Drosophila melanogaster: one gene and its partner. The protein of the gene in region 2 interacts with the protein of the main gene of each other region in a pairwise test. Each region holds a gene or a part of one and is shown on either strand. Other genes may lie near its edges.

The links. The genes of interacting proteins can lie anywhere in the genome.
Region 1: the proteins of EMC8-9 (region 2) and EMC2B interact in a two-hybrid assay, tested with the Drosophila melanogaster proteins (2 studies listed by BioGRID).

The regions. Positions count from the first base shown.
Region 1 is NT_033777.3:16,987,554-16,995,530, forward strand, and holds EMC2B (ER membrane protein complex subunit 2B), read right to left. Parts: upstream 4,326-7,977; 5' UTR 4,215-4,325; coding exon 4,181-4,214; intron 4,040-4,180; coding exon 3,631-4,039; intron 3,505-3,630; coding exon 3,348-3,504; intron 3,286-3,347; coding exon 3,037-3,285; 3' UTR 2,781-3,036; downstream 1-2,780. Other genes in the region: MESK4 (misexpression suppressor of KSR 4), read left to right, coding at 1,372-1,415, 1,470-1,901, 1,966-2,332; CG31274 (uncharacterized protein), read left to right, coding at 5,584-5,627, 5,682-6,113, 6,178-6,544; EMC2A (ER membrane protein complex subunit 2A), read right to left, coding at 7,258-7,506, 7,569-7,725, 7,852-7,977.
Region 2 is NT_033778.4:22,879,229-22,887,164, forward strand, and holds EMC8-9 (ER membrane protein complex subunit 8/9), read right to left. Parts: upstream 3,463-7,936; 5' UTR 3,372-3,462; coding exon 3,174-3,371; intron 2,693-3,173; coding exon 2,279-2,692; 3' UTR 2,094-2,278; downstream 1-2,093. Other genes in the region: PIP5K59B (phosphatidylinositol 4-phosphate 5-kinase 59B), read left to right, coding at 1-211; YME1L (YME1 like ATPase), read right to left, coding at 3,934-4,597, 4,673-5,063, 5,120-5,436, 5,492-5,574, 5,680-5,772, 5,826-6,015, 6,069-6,128, 6,186-6,583 and 1 more; asrij, read left to right, coding at 7,415-7,474, 7,531-7,936. UniProt on the Drosophila melanogaster protein: Part of the endoplasmic reticulum membrane protein complex (EMC) that enables the energy-independent insertion into endoplasmic reticulum membranes of newly synthesized multi-pass membrane proteins like rhodopsins.

The DNA.
Region 1 (7,977 bases), on a different chromosome or scaffold from region 2:
AGCGCCGCTCGAGAATTGGACAACAGCTGTAGTCGTGCACCGCCACGAAAATAACACTCGCACACACTCGAAAAGTCGATTCAACTCGATTCGACTCGATTCGGATCGATCTTGCTGAGCTTTTGCCGCGTGTAGGCCGCGCCGAACTATTGGGGTCTAGAGCGTGGAGCTGACTGCCGACAACTGGCCCACTCGCCGTGCTCCATTCCAGCCCCAGCGGTACGAGACCAGAGTAACATAGTACCAGGCAGCTTTACGAGCGGTATTTCAGAGAGCGAAAGTCCGCCGGGGGCTCGCCCCTCCGAGTTCGACTATAACGCCTACTAGTGCTGCCGTTTGGTCTCTTTCGACTGCGAGTGCTCGTGGGTAAATTAACTTAATGAATGAGTGAGTGATTCCAATCGAAGCTTGGGGTAAGAGCCAAAGATGTCAGCCTAGACAGTTACGATCAGTGTGTAAGGTGTAACTACAGTCAAGCCTCTGTAGTGAGCATTAATAGTAAACTTTGATTAATAGCAAAATAAACATAACTTGGGCCGTGCTGTAAGACTAGATTAAAGTCACATAATCAACATATTTTCACGTTTTACTTCTGTTTCCGCCTGCATGTCGAAATCAGCACAAGCGGTCAACTTACAAATGAACAAACAAGTAAATAAAAGTGATTTATATTACAAGGAGCTCTTATTAATTATTAGCAGCGCAATAACATGGTCCAATTGTTCCCAGCCACGTAAGGTAATACAAAGTTCCTGAGTTTGATAAAAGAGATAAGAAAGAACACCTTAAACCCTCTTACCAAACGTACTCCTAACTGGATAAGTAGTTCGGTAAACCAATAACTAAATAGTATACCAAGCGTTCAGCAAAACTAACACACCATCTCCGTAGATAATTCCGTGGAAGAGTATCAGCATCAACAAAGGAAAAACAATAGAGATTTCTTCCTCATACCTTACTTTGTTGTTCTCGACTTGTGCATTTACACTTACTAATCTGAACGAGTAATTTTACAGAGAAAAAAAAACGTTTATTTATAAACTTATCTCAAAATAAGGAGGAATTGTGGCAGAAAAGATTCACTACATGTTTACATTTCCAACAGAGCTTTTTTCGAGTGTACTTTGAGTGCGTTGGGTGATTGTGACCACCGAGATGACAATTGTTTCAATACACTCACAGATATGGGTATGTGTTTGCTTGGGGAGCGGAAGATCCAGATAATCTGCGCGGAGCGAGAGTCAAGTGTCATTTTTCCCTCAGTCTACCACAGACGTTGGACCAAAATAAATACCATCCGACGGAGTCCCGATCCCGATTGGAAAACACCAAGAATAGGAGCTGCTGCCAGTTATGTAGATCTACGCCGTTATGTCTGGAACATCGACCTCTGAACGCTCCAACTCCGAAGACAGGTAGTAGATAGGCATTCAAAAATCCATGTAATGACCAAAATACCCCGCTTCCAGCCCGTTGAATCCCTGCCTAACGGAGGTCCTCAGGAATTGTGCCAACATTCAGTCGCTGGAGAGCTTGAACTACGAATATAACGACGTTTTGCTGACCGAAGACAACGTGGGGAAGATGATTACGCCGAATCCGTATTCCTTTAGTGGCAACATTTCCATCAGCAGTTGTCCAAGTGAAGATGTATCATTTTCGGAAAGCATCCTAGAGGACAACGGACGCATTTCGCTGGCCTATGAGAACCTGAAGACAATTCCGCGGCGACTGGCCGACAAATTCGCAGCGCAGACCAAGTTTCTCGATTTGAGTCACAATGATTTCCGAAACTTGAGATTTCTCTCCTTTTTCGAGGATCTGGACACTTTAATCCTGGACCGCAACGTAAACCTGGACATAAACACTTTTCCTTATTTGCCGAGCTTAAGGATCTTGTGGTGATTACCCTGAATCTTGCATACATGGGTCCACGCAATAACACATATTCTATTCGTCTTGCAGGATCAACAATTGCGATATAGCAAATATAACCGATTGGATACACCGCATCGAACGGCACTGTCCTGCGCTGGATCAGCTCTCTTGCATGGGGAATCCTGGCATCCGCACAGTTTTCGGGGGCCAAGGACCCCGCGAGTATATACTACAGGTGCTTCCCCAGCTAAAATATCTCGATGGACTTCCAACCAGCAGGAATGCAGCTTATGCGACGCTGTCTTCCTCACAAGGACAGGGTCCGGACTCCACGAGCAATTCGGAAAAGCCTCCACTCGCATCCGCATTCACTTTCAAGGACATCATCCGTCCAAAGTATTCCAGAAAATCGCACAGCGGACGGATGTTTGGCAACGGCTCCTCCACAAACTGAAGTAATATGCCGAAGGAGGGAGGGGTATTCCACTGATTGCATTCTGTCCCATTGTTGGACTATTTTTAACCGTCCGCTGGATTATCAGCGCTGCCCTCGCTGCCCTGCAGTCGTCGATTGCACCTACAGTGCTATGCAAGTAAATATGCATATGGTTATTGCCATGTACGTATATAAATTTGCAATTGTATGACGATGGACACGCACAAACCTAGTGAGAATTAATCTAGTGCATTAAAGCAATTTTTACAATAATAAGAGTCAATGACCTCAGCGAATAGTCAAGTATACAATAGGCACCATCTTCAGAATAAATGTTCTTCGACTTATTCTGAATGTCGTTCAGTGCCCGATTAATTTTACGGATGTAAGCACATGGGCACGAGTTAATATTGCTTAAAACTTGAGGCCAAAGATTAAAATTATGATTCAAAGTAACCAGTTCATTGCGTTTAATCTAAATTTATTACAGGACTATTTTTGCCTACCTCAATAATAAATGTTTTTCAATGCCGTCAACAATACTAGACCACCAAAAACAGTTGCTTGGATGCACTGACTATAAAATTGTTTTTACTCCTATTTCTTTAATTGTTTATCTATGTAACTTGCTTAAAGAACAGAAACTGGAAACCCACATCTGAAAATATTTGGAACCATTACATTCTGGCATCTATTGCACAAATTTGTAGTGCTTATGTTGGTCAATTCGATTTGATTTCCAGGTTTCCAAAAGCAGCCTCCAAGGGTACAATCGTTTGTTTAGTCAAAAGTTGTTCGAGGGCCCACTGACTCAACTTTTGCAGCTCCTTCCGTTTGGAGCTCACGGCTCGAGAGTTGTCCAAATGGTTGCAGCACAAGTAAATGCCATAAAGGGCCCTCAAGTTATGCGGATTAAGCTTCAGGGCCTGCGAATAGTAAGTGCGAGCCGATTCCATATTCTCGACGCCACCCTGAAAGAAAATTAATTCATAAGATGGACTTCATTACTGGTTAGTGGGCTTATATAGCTCACCATTGTGTATCGTATTTCTGCCAAACGCTGGTGTATTAGATGGCTATGCGGATTGTGCAGCAAAACCTCCTCCATGCAGAAGGCAGCTTTGCCAAACTCGCCTTCAGCCAGATACATGTTGCACAGCTCATGCCATGCCTCCTGGTCAGACATAAACCTGAAGGAATATTAAATAGTTATGAGATTATCGTACATGGTAAGATAAGTAGTTGTCTAGCAACCGGATGCCGGAAACTAATTTGGTTCCGTTCTTCCAAAAACACCATGAACTTAGCTTTCTTACTTCTTCAGATACTCGTTGAGCTCCTTGATGGCCTCCAGGCGACGACCACGGGCCTTAAGGATGGCAATCTTGCGCTTCCTGGGCGCGGCATTTGTCTCGTCCTTAGCAATGATTGCATCCAGGACCTCGTCGGCCTCATCGTACTGCTCCAGGGCCTCGTAGCGCATCGCTTTGAACTTCATCACGCGCAGGCTGCCCGGGAACTCGAGGGCCAGCTGCTTGGTACACTTGGTGGCGATGTCAAAGCGAGCCGTATCCAATGCCGCGATGATCACCTGCTCCAGGATGAGATGCCGCTCGTTGCCGGTCTTGTGCACCTTGTCCTCCAGCACAGCAACCCACAGCTGGACCACCTCCTCGCTGTGGCGACCCGTCTCCTCGCGCCATGTTCTGAACTGATCGCGTACATCTGGAAGGATGATCATACGATTATGATACCGCACTTTTCATTCATGGCCCCGTTTTTTGGGTCCACGGAAACCGGGCGATTGGGAGCAACCCACTGACGTGGTCTGCACCTGTTTGAAGCCGGGAAAAGCCAAAAACTCACCCGACCAGCTCATCTTCTCATAATCTAGCGACATATTCACTTAGGCGCACTTAAATATCTCATTAATTTAACTTAATTTTCCAATTGTAATCTTTAACTGCCGATTTCCTTTCCTGGCAAAATAAAAGTGTGGCAGCATAATGGGCCGTTAGATTATACCAAATAACAGTGGCGTGGCGCTGCCAACCTACTTTTTGAATATCGTAAGACTCTACTCTACAGTTACACAGTATGCAGGATTTGTTGACTAGTTTGTAAAAGAAAGCGTTTCCGATCCAATGATGTATATATATCCTTTCCTCTCATCTGCATACATAAGTAAACGAGAAGGTGATATAACTATAATAACTAGGTCATTAATGAATACGGTAAAAAGGAGCGAACCTAGGTGTTTCCCTTGTGGTATGCCAGATATGGGTACAAGATGGGTACAAGTAATAACATTTTTGCAGAGTACCCTTTGCGTTCTGCCATTCAAATATCTTAAAGTCCAATTCAAAAGATCAACCGGAAAACATTATAAATTTAGATTCCTATTGGATAATTAAGGAAGTCATATGGCTTACTTATGTTAGTATATATGTATAGTCACATAATCAACATATTTTCACGTTTCCCTTCCGTTTCTGAGTGCACTCGGCATACGACACAATCGATCAACTTAGCTCTATATGAACAAACAAGTAAATAAATGTGATTTATATTACAAGGAGCTCTTATTAATTATTTGCAGCGCATTAACATGGTCCAATTGTTCCCAGCCACGTAAGGTAATACAAAGTTCCTGAGTTTGATAAAAGAGATAAGAAAGAACACCTTAAACCCTCTTACCAAACGTACTCCTAACTGGATAAGTAGTTCGGTAAACCAATAACTAAATAGTATACCAAGCGTTCAGCAAAACTAACACACCATCTCCGTAGATAATTCCGTGGAAGAGTATCAGCATCAACAAAGGAAAAACAATAGAGATTTCTTCCTCATACCTTACTTTGTTGTTCTCGACTTGTGCATTTACACTTACTAATCTGAACGAGTAATTTTACAGAGAAAAAAAAACGTTTATTTATAAACTTATCTCAAAATAAGGAGGAATTGTGGCAGAAAAGATTCACTACATGTTTACATTTCCAACAGAGCTTTTTTCGAGTGTACTTTGAGTGCGTTGGGTGATTGTGACCACCGAGATGACAATTGTTTCAATACACTCACAGATATGGGTATGTGTTTGCTTGGGGAGCGGAAGATCCAGATAATCTGCGCGGAGCGAGAGTCAAGTGTCATTTTTCCCTCAGTCTACCACAGACGTTGGACCAAAATAAATACCATCCGACGGAGTCCCGATCCCGATTGGAAAACACCAAGAATAGGAGCTGCTGCCAGTTATGTAGATCTACGCCGTTATGTCTGGAACATCGACCTCTGAACGCTCCAACTCCGAAGACAGGTAGTAGATAGGCATTCAAAAATCCATGTAATGACCAAAATATCCCGCTTCCAGCCCGTTGAATCCCTGCCTAACGGAGGTCCTCAGGAATTGTGCCAACATTCAGTCGCTGGAGAGCTTGAACTACGAATATAACGACGTTTTGCTGACCGAAGACAACGTGGGGAAGATGATTACGCCGAATCCGTATTCCTTTAGTGGCAACATTTCCATCAGCAGTTGTCCAAGTGAAGATGTATCATTTTCGGAAAGCATCCTAGAGGACAACGGACGCATTTCGCTGGCCTATGAGAACCTGAAGACAATTCCGCGGCGACTGGCCGACAAATTCGCAGCGCAGACCAAGTTTCTCGATTTGAGTCACAATGATTTCCGAAACTTGAGATTTCTCTCCTTTTTCGAGGATCTGGACACTTTAATCCTGGACCGCAACGTAAACCTGGACATAAACACTTTTCCTTATTTGCCGAGCTTAAGGATCTTGTGGTGATTACCCTGAATCTTGCATACATGGGTCCACGCAATAACACATATTCTATTCGTCTTGCAGGATCAACAATTGCGATATAGCAAATATAACCGATTGGATACACCGCATCGAACGGCACTGTCCTGCGCTGGATCAGCTCTCTTGCATGGGGAATCCTGGCATCCGCACAGTTTTCGGGGGCCAAGGACCCCGCGAGTATATACTACAGGTGCTTCCCCAGCTAAAATATCTCGATGGACTTCCAACCAGCAGGAATGCAGCTTATGCGACGCTGTCTTCCTCACAAGGACAGGGTCCGGACTCCACGAGCAATTCGGAAAAGCCTCCACTCGCATCCGCATTCACTTTCAAGGACATCATCCGTCCAAAGTATTCCAGAAAATCGCACAGCGGACGGATGTTTGGCAACGGCTCCTCCACAAACTGAAGTAATATGCCGAAGGAGGGAGGGGTATTCCACTGATTGCATTCTGTCCCATTGTTGGACTATTTTTAACCGTCCGCTGGATTATCAGCGCTGCCCTCGCTGCCCTGCAGTCGTCGATTGCACCTACAGTGCTATGCAAGTAAATATGCATATGGTTATTGCCATGTACGTATATAAATTTGCAATTGTATGACGATGGACACGCACAAACCTAGTGAGAATTAATCTAGTGCATTAAAGCAATTTTTACAATAATAAGAGTCAATGACCTCAGCGAATAGTCAAGTATACAATAGGCACCATCTTCAGAATAAATGTTCTTCGACTTATTCTGAATGTCGTTCAGTGCCCGATTAATTTTACGGATGTAAGCACATGGGCACGAGTTAATATTGCTTAAAACTTGAGGCCAAAGATTAAAAGTATGATTCAAAGCAGTTCATTGCGTTTAATCTAAATTTATTACAGGACTATTTTTGCCTACCTCAATAATAAATGTTTTAAATTATCCGGTTTCAATGCCGTCAACAATACTAGACCACCAAAAACAGTTGCTTGGATGCACTGACTATAAAATTGTTTTTACTCCTATTTCTTTAATTGTTTATCTATGTAACCTGCTTAAAGAACAGAAACTGGAAACCCACTTCTGAGAATATTTGGAACCATTACATTCTGGCATCTATTGCACAAATTATTAGTGCTTATATTGGTCAATTCGATTTAATTTCCAGGTTTCCAAAGGCAGCCTCCAAGGGTACAATCGTTTGTTTAGTCAAAAGTTGTTCGAGGGCCCATTGACTCAACTTTTGCAGCTCCTTCCGTTTGGAGCTCACAGCACGAGAGTTGTCCAAATGGTTGCAGCACAAGTAAATGCCATAAAGGGCCCTCAAGTTATGCGGATTAAGCTTCAGGGCCTGCGAATAGTAAGTGCGAGCCGATTCCATATTCTCGACGCCACCCTGAAAGAAAATTAATTCATAAGATGGACTTCATTACTGGTTAGTGGGCTTATATAGCTCACCATTGTGTATCGTATTTCTGCCAAACGCTGGTGTATTAGATGGCTATGCGGATTGTGCAGCAAAACCTCCTCCATGCAGAAGGCAGCTTTGCCAAACTCGCCTTCAGCCAGATACATGTTGCACAGCTCATGCCATGCCTCCTGGTCAGACATAAACCTGAAGGAATATTAAATAGTTATGAGATTATCGTACATGGTAAGATAAGTAGTTGTCTAGCAACCGGATGCCGGAAACTAATTTGGTTCCGTTCTTCCAAAAACACCATGAACTTAGCTTTCTTACTTCTTCAGATACTCGTTGAGCTCCTTGATGGCCTCCAGGCGACGACCACGGGCCTTAAGGATGGCAATCTTGCGCTTCCTGGGCGCGGCATTTGTCTCGTCCTTAGCAATGATTGCATCCAGGACC
Region 2 (7,936 bases):
GGAGGTCAAACGAGAACTGGAGGCGACACAGCGTCCTAGAAGACCTCTACCCAAGCTTACGCTTCCCGACCCGGTCGTAGAGCCTGCGAGGAGTCCTCCTGGACAGCAGATCAGACGGGGCAAGAGACGAGCGCCCAAGGCAGCGCCCTCCACGATACCCGAGAGCGACGGCACTCAGGGATCGACTGGACGCGGACAGGGACGGGATTAGCTACTCGCTTGCACCTCGCTTACCCAGCCACACTACACCATTACCCAGCTACCTTTTATTACTACTGTCTACTTCTGCCACTCATTCCGTTGTATATTTTGCTCTGCTCATTGTATTGCTAGGCACAACGCCCTCATGCAGCTCGACTCCTCCCCCCGCCTTTGACGACATCTCCGAGGACAGCTCGAACAAGAACAGCAGCTCGTCGATAGGTCGCCGGTCTCATCATCATCACCACCATCACCAGCAGTCGCAGCAGCATCAGCAGTCCTACTATCTGGATCGCAAGATGAACATTGGACCCGCCTATCGAGGCTCCTACAAGGAGGACATTGTGAGGTATTAATGCTTATGTATGTTAGCCATCTAAGCTATCCCGCCGTCGAGTGGAAATACCCATTTGTAACAAATTGATTTATTGTTTAACTAGCGTTTCGGAAGTCCATCTGGATACATTACTGGCGGTGGACACGTCGTCGAGCAGCCAGTACGGATCCCGCGGCGGATTGGCCTGGACCCCGCCCGCTTCAGGTGAGGGCTCCACTCCCACATGGACAGAGGGCACACCAAGTTTTACGGACTCCAGTTCGAGTGGTGATCTCGGTAATTGGCACTTGAGATTTGCTTTGAAATCGCTTTTTGTGTTTCTATATCTATCTGTATATGTGTATTCGTTCACGCTTGCAATCGTAGACAACTTCTCGCCCATAAACTCATCTAAAATCGATCGACACAAGCCGACGGTGGAAGAGGCCATCAACTCTCTGTCCGCGGGAATGGTAAATATCAGAGGAGACCGACTCTAGACACGATCCCCAGCACACATAGATACGTCCCGTACCGCTGCACCCACGACACCTCCACACCTAGACAGCTCCACCCCCATCACACACAGAGTTAGACTCGCACACGTCCATGTAGAATCGTACACTACTAGAGTTTTCCAAATTGCAGTGCATCTTTCGTTTGGGTGTTCTTCCCTAGCCATTCCCCCACAGCATCCCACTGATACATGACTTCTCTATTGCATTCTTATAGATCAACTAACATAGCATGTGGTGACGGAACACAAGACACACCAACCCAGATATATCACGATGTGGACTGAGAAAGAGTCCGAGCGAAATATGCCTCATACTCTTACATACTGATTATGCTTGCGTGTTCAGGCGCTCTTGTATAGCTAGGATATAATCAAAAGGCGCCCCACGTAGAACAGATTCCCCCATGTCATGCCCACGACCACGACCACAGCCACACCCACACCTGCCCATCCCTTCCAGCGGACACTGGGTGAAAAATAACCAACAAGAGACATAACTCAATCAAGCAAAAGATATTATATACAAGCCCAAAGCATACTCCTTATACACAGAACTACAGAAGCATATAGCATATAACTGGCAAATCAAATACGAGTAAGGTGCTCAGGATGGCATCCCGTTGGTGATCAGAGATCCGTGATCAGTGATTCGTAGTCCCGGTCCCCTATACGTTTAGTGTACGGTGTAAAGAGTTCGTTATGCGTTCGATCAGATAATATGAAAATATACAATACACTGAAATTATATAAATAAACGTTTTTGCGATACTTTCGATCTCCGATATATCCACATAAGTACGTATTATGTATACCTATGTATAATCAGCAATCGCGATATTACAATATTATTGTAAAATATTTCAATTTACAAGCCAGACAAACCAAAAGCAAAATTATATACATATTATTCATCTGTATTTATTAACGATAATTGTAACGCGCTTAGGTTTACTCAACACAATAAACAGAACAGAACCGGACCGGACCGGACTTAAAAAGGATATTACAATAGGTGCACCAACAGACGGACTCGGACTGCAGACAACATTTGACTCAAAACATGATGAAAGAATTGATTATTTATTAATTAGTTGAATGTTATTTAACTTATATGCATTATTCTAAAGATTACTGAAATCCAAATGTAATTACAATAAATTAAATTGCAAGGTTGAAATTCCGGCATGTTCCCTCGAATGCGATTTTGCTAGACTAAAAAAAAAACGTACGTTTGAAACGGACGACTAGTACAGTTTCTGCAGATCGTTGAGCGGCTGATTCAGGAAGTCGTTGGTCCAGTTTTTGTCCGGATTATCTAGATGGTTGTCAAAGTCAACCAAATCCCGCATGGCTCCGCGCTTCAGCAGCAGCGACACGCCTTCCAATGTATCGGACGCCTGTGAGAGCGTAAACTTGGCCTTTGACCACCTTGCTCCAGAGTCTCCGGGACAGTTGAATACCTGGATGGCGGCTCGGTCGTGCTGCAGCGTCATCAGTTTGTTGTCCACCACCACAAAGCAGGCGTTCTTGAAGTTCTCCTGGATCTTGTCAGCTATCTTGGCGGCTGGGGTCTTGTCGACCTGGTTGTCGTAGAAGTTCTCCGGTGCTGCGTAGTAGCCTGCGATTACTAATCCTTCCCGTTCGGCGTGGGCATCGATCTGAAAGTGTAAGGTAATGTATTATTATCGTTATTTTATAAAATGTTTTAATTTAAACAATGGTACAACCTTATCGGCTTTTAAATTTAATTCAGTCTTCACAACTTCAATGCTTTAAGACTGCTAGTTTAATTTGGGTAATAAACTTCTAACAGGGTAAAAGTGGTGTGACACTAGTTTTTGAATTTGATATGCTAATATTAAAATACCATCGTGGGGTACAAGGTACATTTTACTAAATAAAGATCGCTTGGAACATAAACCTTTCTGTTCTAAGCACAACACTGGATAACTATGCAGCCGCAATAAGTTAGAATAGTTATATATCTTTTGGATAGCGGAGTGTTTGGCCAGGGTGCGAGGATCTAGATACAAATTGAAGCCATAATAGTTCCATTATGGGGCGCACCACATTGCTGTCCGGACACAAATGCACCGAGCCCCTCGTGATGTGAGTTTAGGAAGGGCAATTGGTAATTACCAGCATGAGGGCCACCTCCGCCATGGGGGTGACATACAGGCACTGGTGGAAAAGCGGAATCGCATCCACGATTTCCACTTGGGAGCCCTTCGATGTCTTCTCGGCCAGCAAGAGTCCGTTGACCGCCTGGTGTGGATACTTGGCCGCGTGGAATATCAACTTGGCGTACGCCCGCTCCGAGACCTTGTAGTCGCACATTTTCTCAGAATATTATCTCAATTTATTCGGCAAAAAATAAAACATGAATTGGAAATTCGACAGCTAGAAAGTGTGACCGCGACGCAGCTGTTCAAATATACCGCAAACGTCAAATATACAATGAAAAATACTAAAATGGATGAGCATGGAATGGATTCCACAAAAAATGTGATCAAAACTATATTTGTTAATTATGTCTTTAACATTGAAAATATATTTATAACTTAAGTTCTAGAAAATGGTTTCTAACATAGGTTGCAGTAGTCTGGTCACATCGATATGGGCGCGCAAACAATATGTGGATTCCACTTCAAATTAATTTATTACTCAAACTAATATTTAATTCTAACGTGAATGATGGAAAACATAACTGAATATGTGTAACATTTTATTTCTTAACTGTCCGTCTGCGTCTCGCTCTTGCTTGGTTTTTTTCTCCGGTTTTTTATATATGTATATTGTAACTAAAAATATTTAGCAGTTCAGCTGAATGTCCGGTGGCAGACCAACCCGGCCTTCCAATTGGATCCTTGAACACCATCAAACCACACCGATGGGGGAACTACGTCTGGCTTTCATTCAGTATTGCCTTGATGTCGTCGGCGTCAAGAGTCTCGTACTTGAGAAGCGCCTCCGCAAGCGCTTTGTGCTCCCTGGTGTGTTTTCGCAGGATAGCCTTCGCCCGCTCGTAGCTGTCGCTGAGGATGCGCTTGATCTCCGCGTCCACGGCTTCAATGGTGTTGGGACCAAGGGTGTCACCGGTGCCCAGACCCTTTGACGCCTCGATGGTGCGAAGACCGACCTTGTCCGACATGCCCCAGTCCCTGACCATATGCGTCGCGATCGAGGTTGCCTGCTTGAGATCACTGCTGGCTCCCGACGTAATCTTGTCCGTGCCGAAGACCAGTTCCTCAGCAGCACGACCGCCCATCATGGTGTCCATCATGGCCAGCAGCTGTGCCTTTGTGACATGGTAACGCTCCTTCTCCGGTATGTAGGCGGTGTGTCCAAGGGAGGGTCCGCGGGGCATGATGGTCACCTTGTGCAGCGGATGCGACTCCTTGGTGTAGAAGGCCACAATCGCGTGGCCGCCCTCGTGGTAAGCGGTTATGGTGTTGGCCTCCTCGTCCGGTAGACGAGCCTTGCGCTCGGGTCCCATAAGTACTTTGTCTCGTGCCGTTTCCAAATGCTTCATGCTGACCGTTTCGGCTCCATCGATGGCAGCTCTGCCAAAATGTTAGAATTATTAGTACCGCTCTTCAAAATTGTGATTGAATAATACAACACAAGTTATTCCTTACCTTAACGCCGCTTGGTTAATCATGTTTTCCAGATCCGCTCCAGTAAAACCAGAGGTGCCGCGCGCCAGCATGTCCAAGTCTATTTCATCGTGCAAAATCTTCGTCAGATACAGAGACAATATCTCCTTACGTCCAGTGAAATCGGGCGTCGACACCATGACTTCTACATCAAATCGGCCGGGACGCAGCAGAGCCTGATCCAAATCGTCGCGACGATTGGTGGCTCCCAAAACAATGACGCCAGCGTTCTGATGGAAGCCATCCATCTCGGAGAGCAGCTGATTGATGGTCTGATTGGCGTAAGGATGCAGCACAGAGTTGGTTCGCTTGGCGCCCACCGAGTCGATTTCGTCAATGAAGATAACACAAGGGGCACGGGCCTTTGCTGCCTCTGCAAGATGATGTTCTTGTTTAGTTGAGCACTTTGGATAATTGAAATCTACTTACTGAACAGATCACGCACTCGTCTGGCTCCTTGGCCTACGAGCACCTCGTCGAACTCCGGTCCGGCAGCATGGAAGAAAGGAACTTTGGCTTCACCGGCGACGGCACGGGCCAGCAGTGTTTTGCCAGTACCCGGCGGGCCAACCAGGAGCACTCCCTTTGGAAGCTTTCCGCCCAAATTTGAGAACTTTTCCGGACTCTTCAGGAATTCAACGACCTCCTTGAGCTCCTGCTTGGCTTCGTCGCAACCCTTGACATCCTCAAAAGTGACGTTGATCTCCTCAGGGTCCACTTCAACCTGGTTGCCCAGTTGTATGCTGCTGAAAGAAAGGCATATCAGATGGGTAAAGCAAAACTAATAACGTGGAGGCTCACCGAAATACGGATCCATTGGAGGTTGTAAAGAAGCTCAGGAAAATGCCCAAGAACACGACGATAACGACGATAGTCTGCAAAGTCTGCGTGACAATTACTAGAATTTATTTATAACACTAAAGAAGACCAAGGCCTTCTGTGGTTTTCAAAGTAATCATGGTACACTTTGAATGAATTTAAACTCGTACCTTCAGATATTTCATAGTTTTTCCTGATTTTGGAGAGTCCTCCGAGTTAGCGGCGGCCAAGTAGCCCTCGGCAAAGGCAATTTTCAGGCTCTCCTGGAATACAAAACATTAGTACGGTTAACAATTGAGAGACCCTGTCGTCCTACGGCTTTATTAAATCCATGCTCTTCGGATTTGGCCAGCAGCCGTCTCAGTTTTTCAGCCTGAAGGGGTGTGTCCCCATCCAGACGCTGGGGCGAGTTGGCCAGAGCATTCTTTAGTCGGGAGGTCATTGTGGGATTGCGCTTTTGTTCCGCCTCAATGGAACGATCCGTCTTAAAGCCACGTATCTGATTTCTATAAAGAGCTAAATTTGAGATATAGTTCGTAGATACTTTCCGTATAATTACAGCTGTTGTTGTGAGAAGAGCGGACGAAGAAGACCTGGTGTAATAGTTGGAATCACCTTGCTGAAAACATAAACCAGGATTAAGCGGAGCCTCGAAAGGATAATTTGCAATACGTACACATTGGCGCCTGTGGGCACGGAACCTGCTGCACCGGTTAGCGAAACTTCGAACTGATAATTTTGCAGCTGGACACGACCGATCTGTGTGGCCGACTCCTCCAACGTGACTCGGACATCGCGCATGGAGGGCAGCATGCTCGTCACCTTGGCCAGCACATCATCGACCAGCCGCCGGTCGAGAATGCCATTCAGTCGAGCCGCCCTCTCCACCATGCCCTGTATACTGGCGCTCGAACGGCTCAGCAGGTTCCGCAGGTCGAGCACTAGGTCATGACTCCGGCTGGACGTGGACGTGGACTTGGACAACCGGGCAGCTCCCGCGCTCCCGTGCAGCTTGGTTCGATTAACGGAGTAGTAGTGCGGCTTTCTGCTGAAGTTGCCTAGGTACAGGTAGGGCTGTCACATCACATCACACGCAGTTCCCCGATTCCAAGTGTTGGGTGGTAGAAATGGAGCAGTCAGGTGGGCGAATGAATGTATTGTCATCGGGCAGCACTTACCACGGAGTGTGTGGTGGTGGAAAACATTGCCAAAACTACAAATTTCAATAAATTACAAGGGCAGGCTCAGGATCGCGGCCAGCAGACGACACAGCTGTAACTTTACTTGACAGCGAAAATGTCATAATCTCGTCGCGTCGTGCGCGTTGCATCCCTGGTTCTGGTGGTGCGCGACTTTCCACCTCTTATCAAAGCACGCGTTCTCCAATTACTGGCAATTTTCAAAAGTGTATTCGTTTGTCGACTGGTGGTTTTGATTTTATTCGATTTTTAATTTGGTTTATATATCTAAACTGCCTCTCCGTACAGTCAACGCTGCTGATAGTGTTGCTAAACTTACATAAATATATAAAATTTTGTATAAATAAAATGAATGATAATCAGCGCAAACTTTGCATTCTATAAAATGTGATTTGTTTACTACTAAGATCAAATGAAAGTCTATTCCAAATTTTACTTATATTGACAACAAATTCCATTGTATCAACTGTAAATGAATGTTGTCTTTGTTATTTAGTTTTAACTTCTTAAAGAAAAAGGTTTTTAACCAGTTTAGGATAGACAAAGAGTCCCTATCGCAACCATCGTGCATAGATCGACCATCACTAGTTCTGGAGATGTGCAGAAGTCACTGGCCCGTTTCGCCGGCGACCAGGGTTGGCAAATCGGCTGCGCCGGTAGTTGGTCCGTTATACATTTCACAAATTCCACATTAAATTGTATCAGCATGGACTCCCCGCTGAACGATGGCTCTCACCATCCACCGCCGCACGCTCCCCACCCCCTGGTGAGTGCTCTACGGTCCTTAAACTGCCACTACCCAAACGTTTGCATCTATTTCAGGCGGACTATCAGTTTTCTGCGGAGGAGGTGAAGGCGTTACGTGAGTGCAACACTGAGTCTTTCTTCCAGCGCAGCCTGCCTTTCGGCACTGGACTGGGCCTGCTGGCCTACTTCGGCGTCAAGAACGGCTATTTGCAGGGACACGTCAAGTACGGCGCCGTGCCCAAGGTCGTGATGGGCGTCATTCTGGGCTACTTTGTGGGCAAGTTCAGTTACCAGCAGAAGTGTGCCGAGAAGATCATGCGCCTACCCAACTCCCATCTGGGCGAGCTGCTGCGTCAGCGTAGACAGGGCGGCGGTGTCATCAGCTCCATCACACCGGACGAGAATCTGGGCAGGGCCTTCACTCTGGCCCCCTTCTCGCCGAGCTCGGCGGACGTGTACAGCGATGAGGCGTATCAGCCCG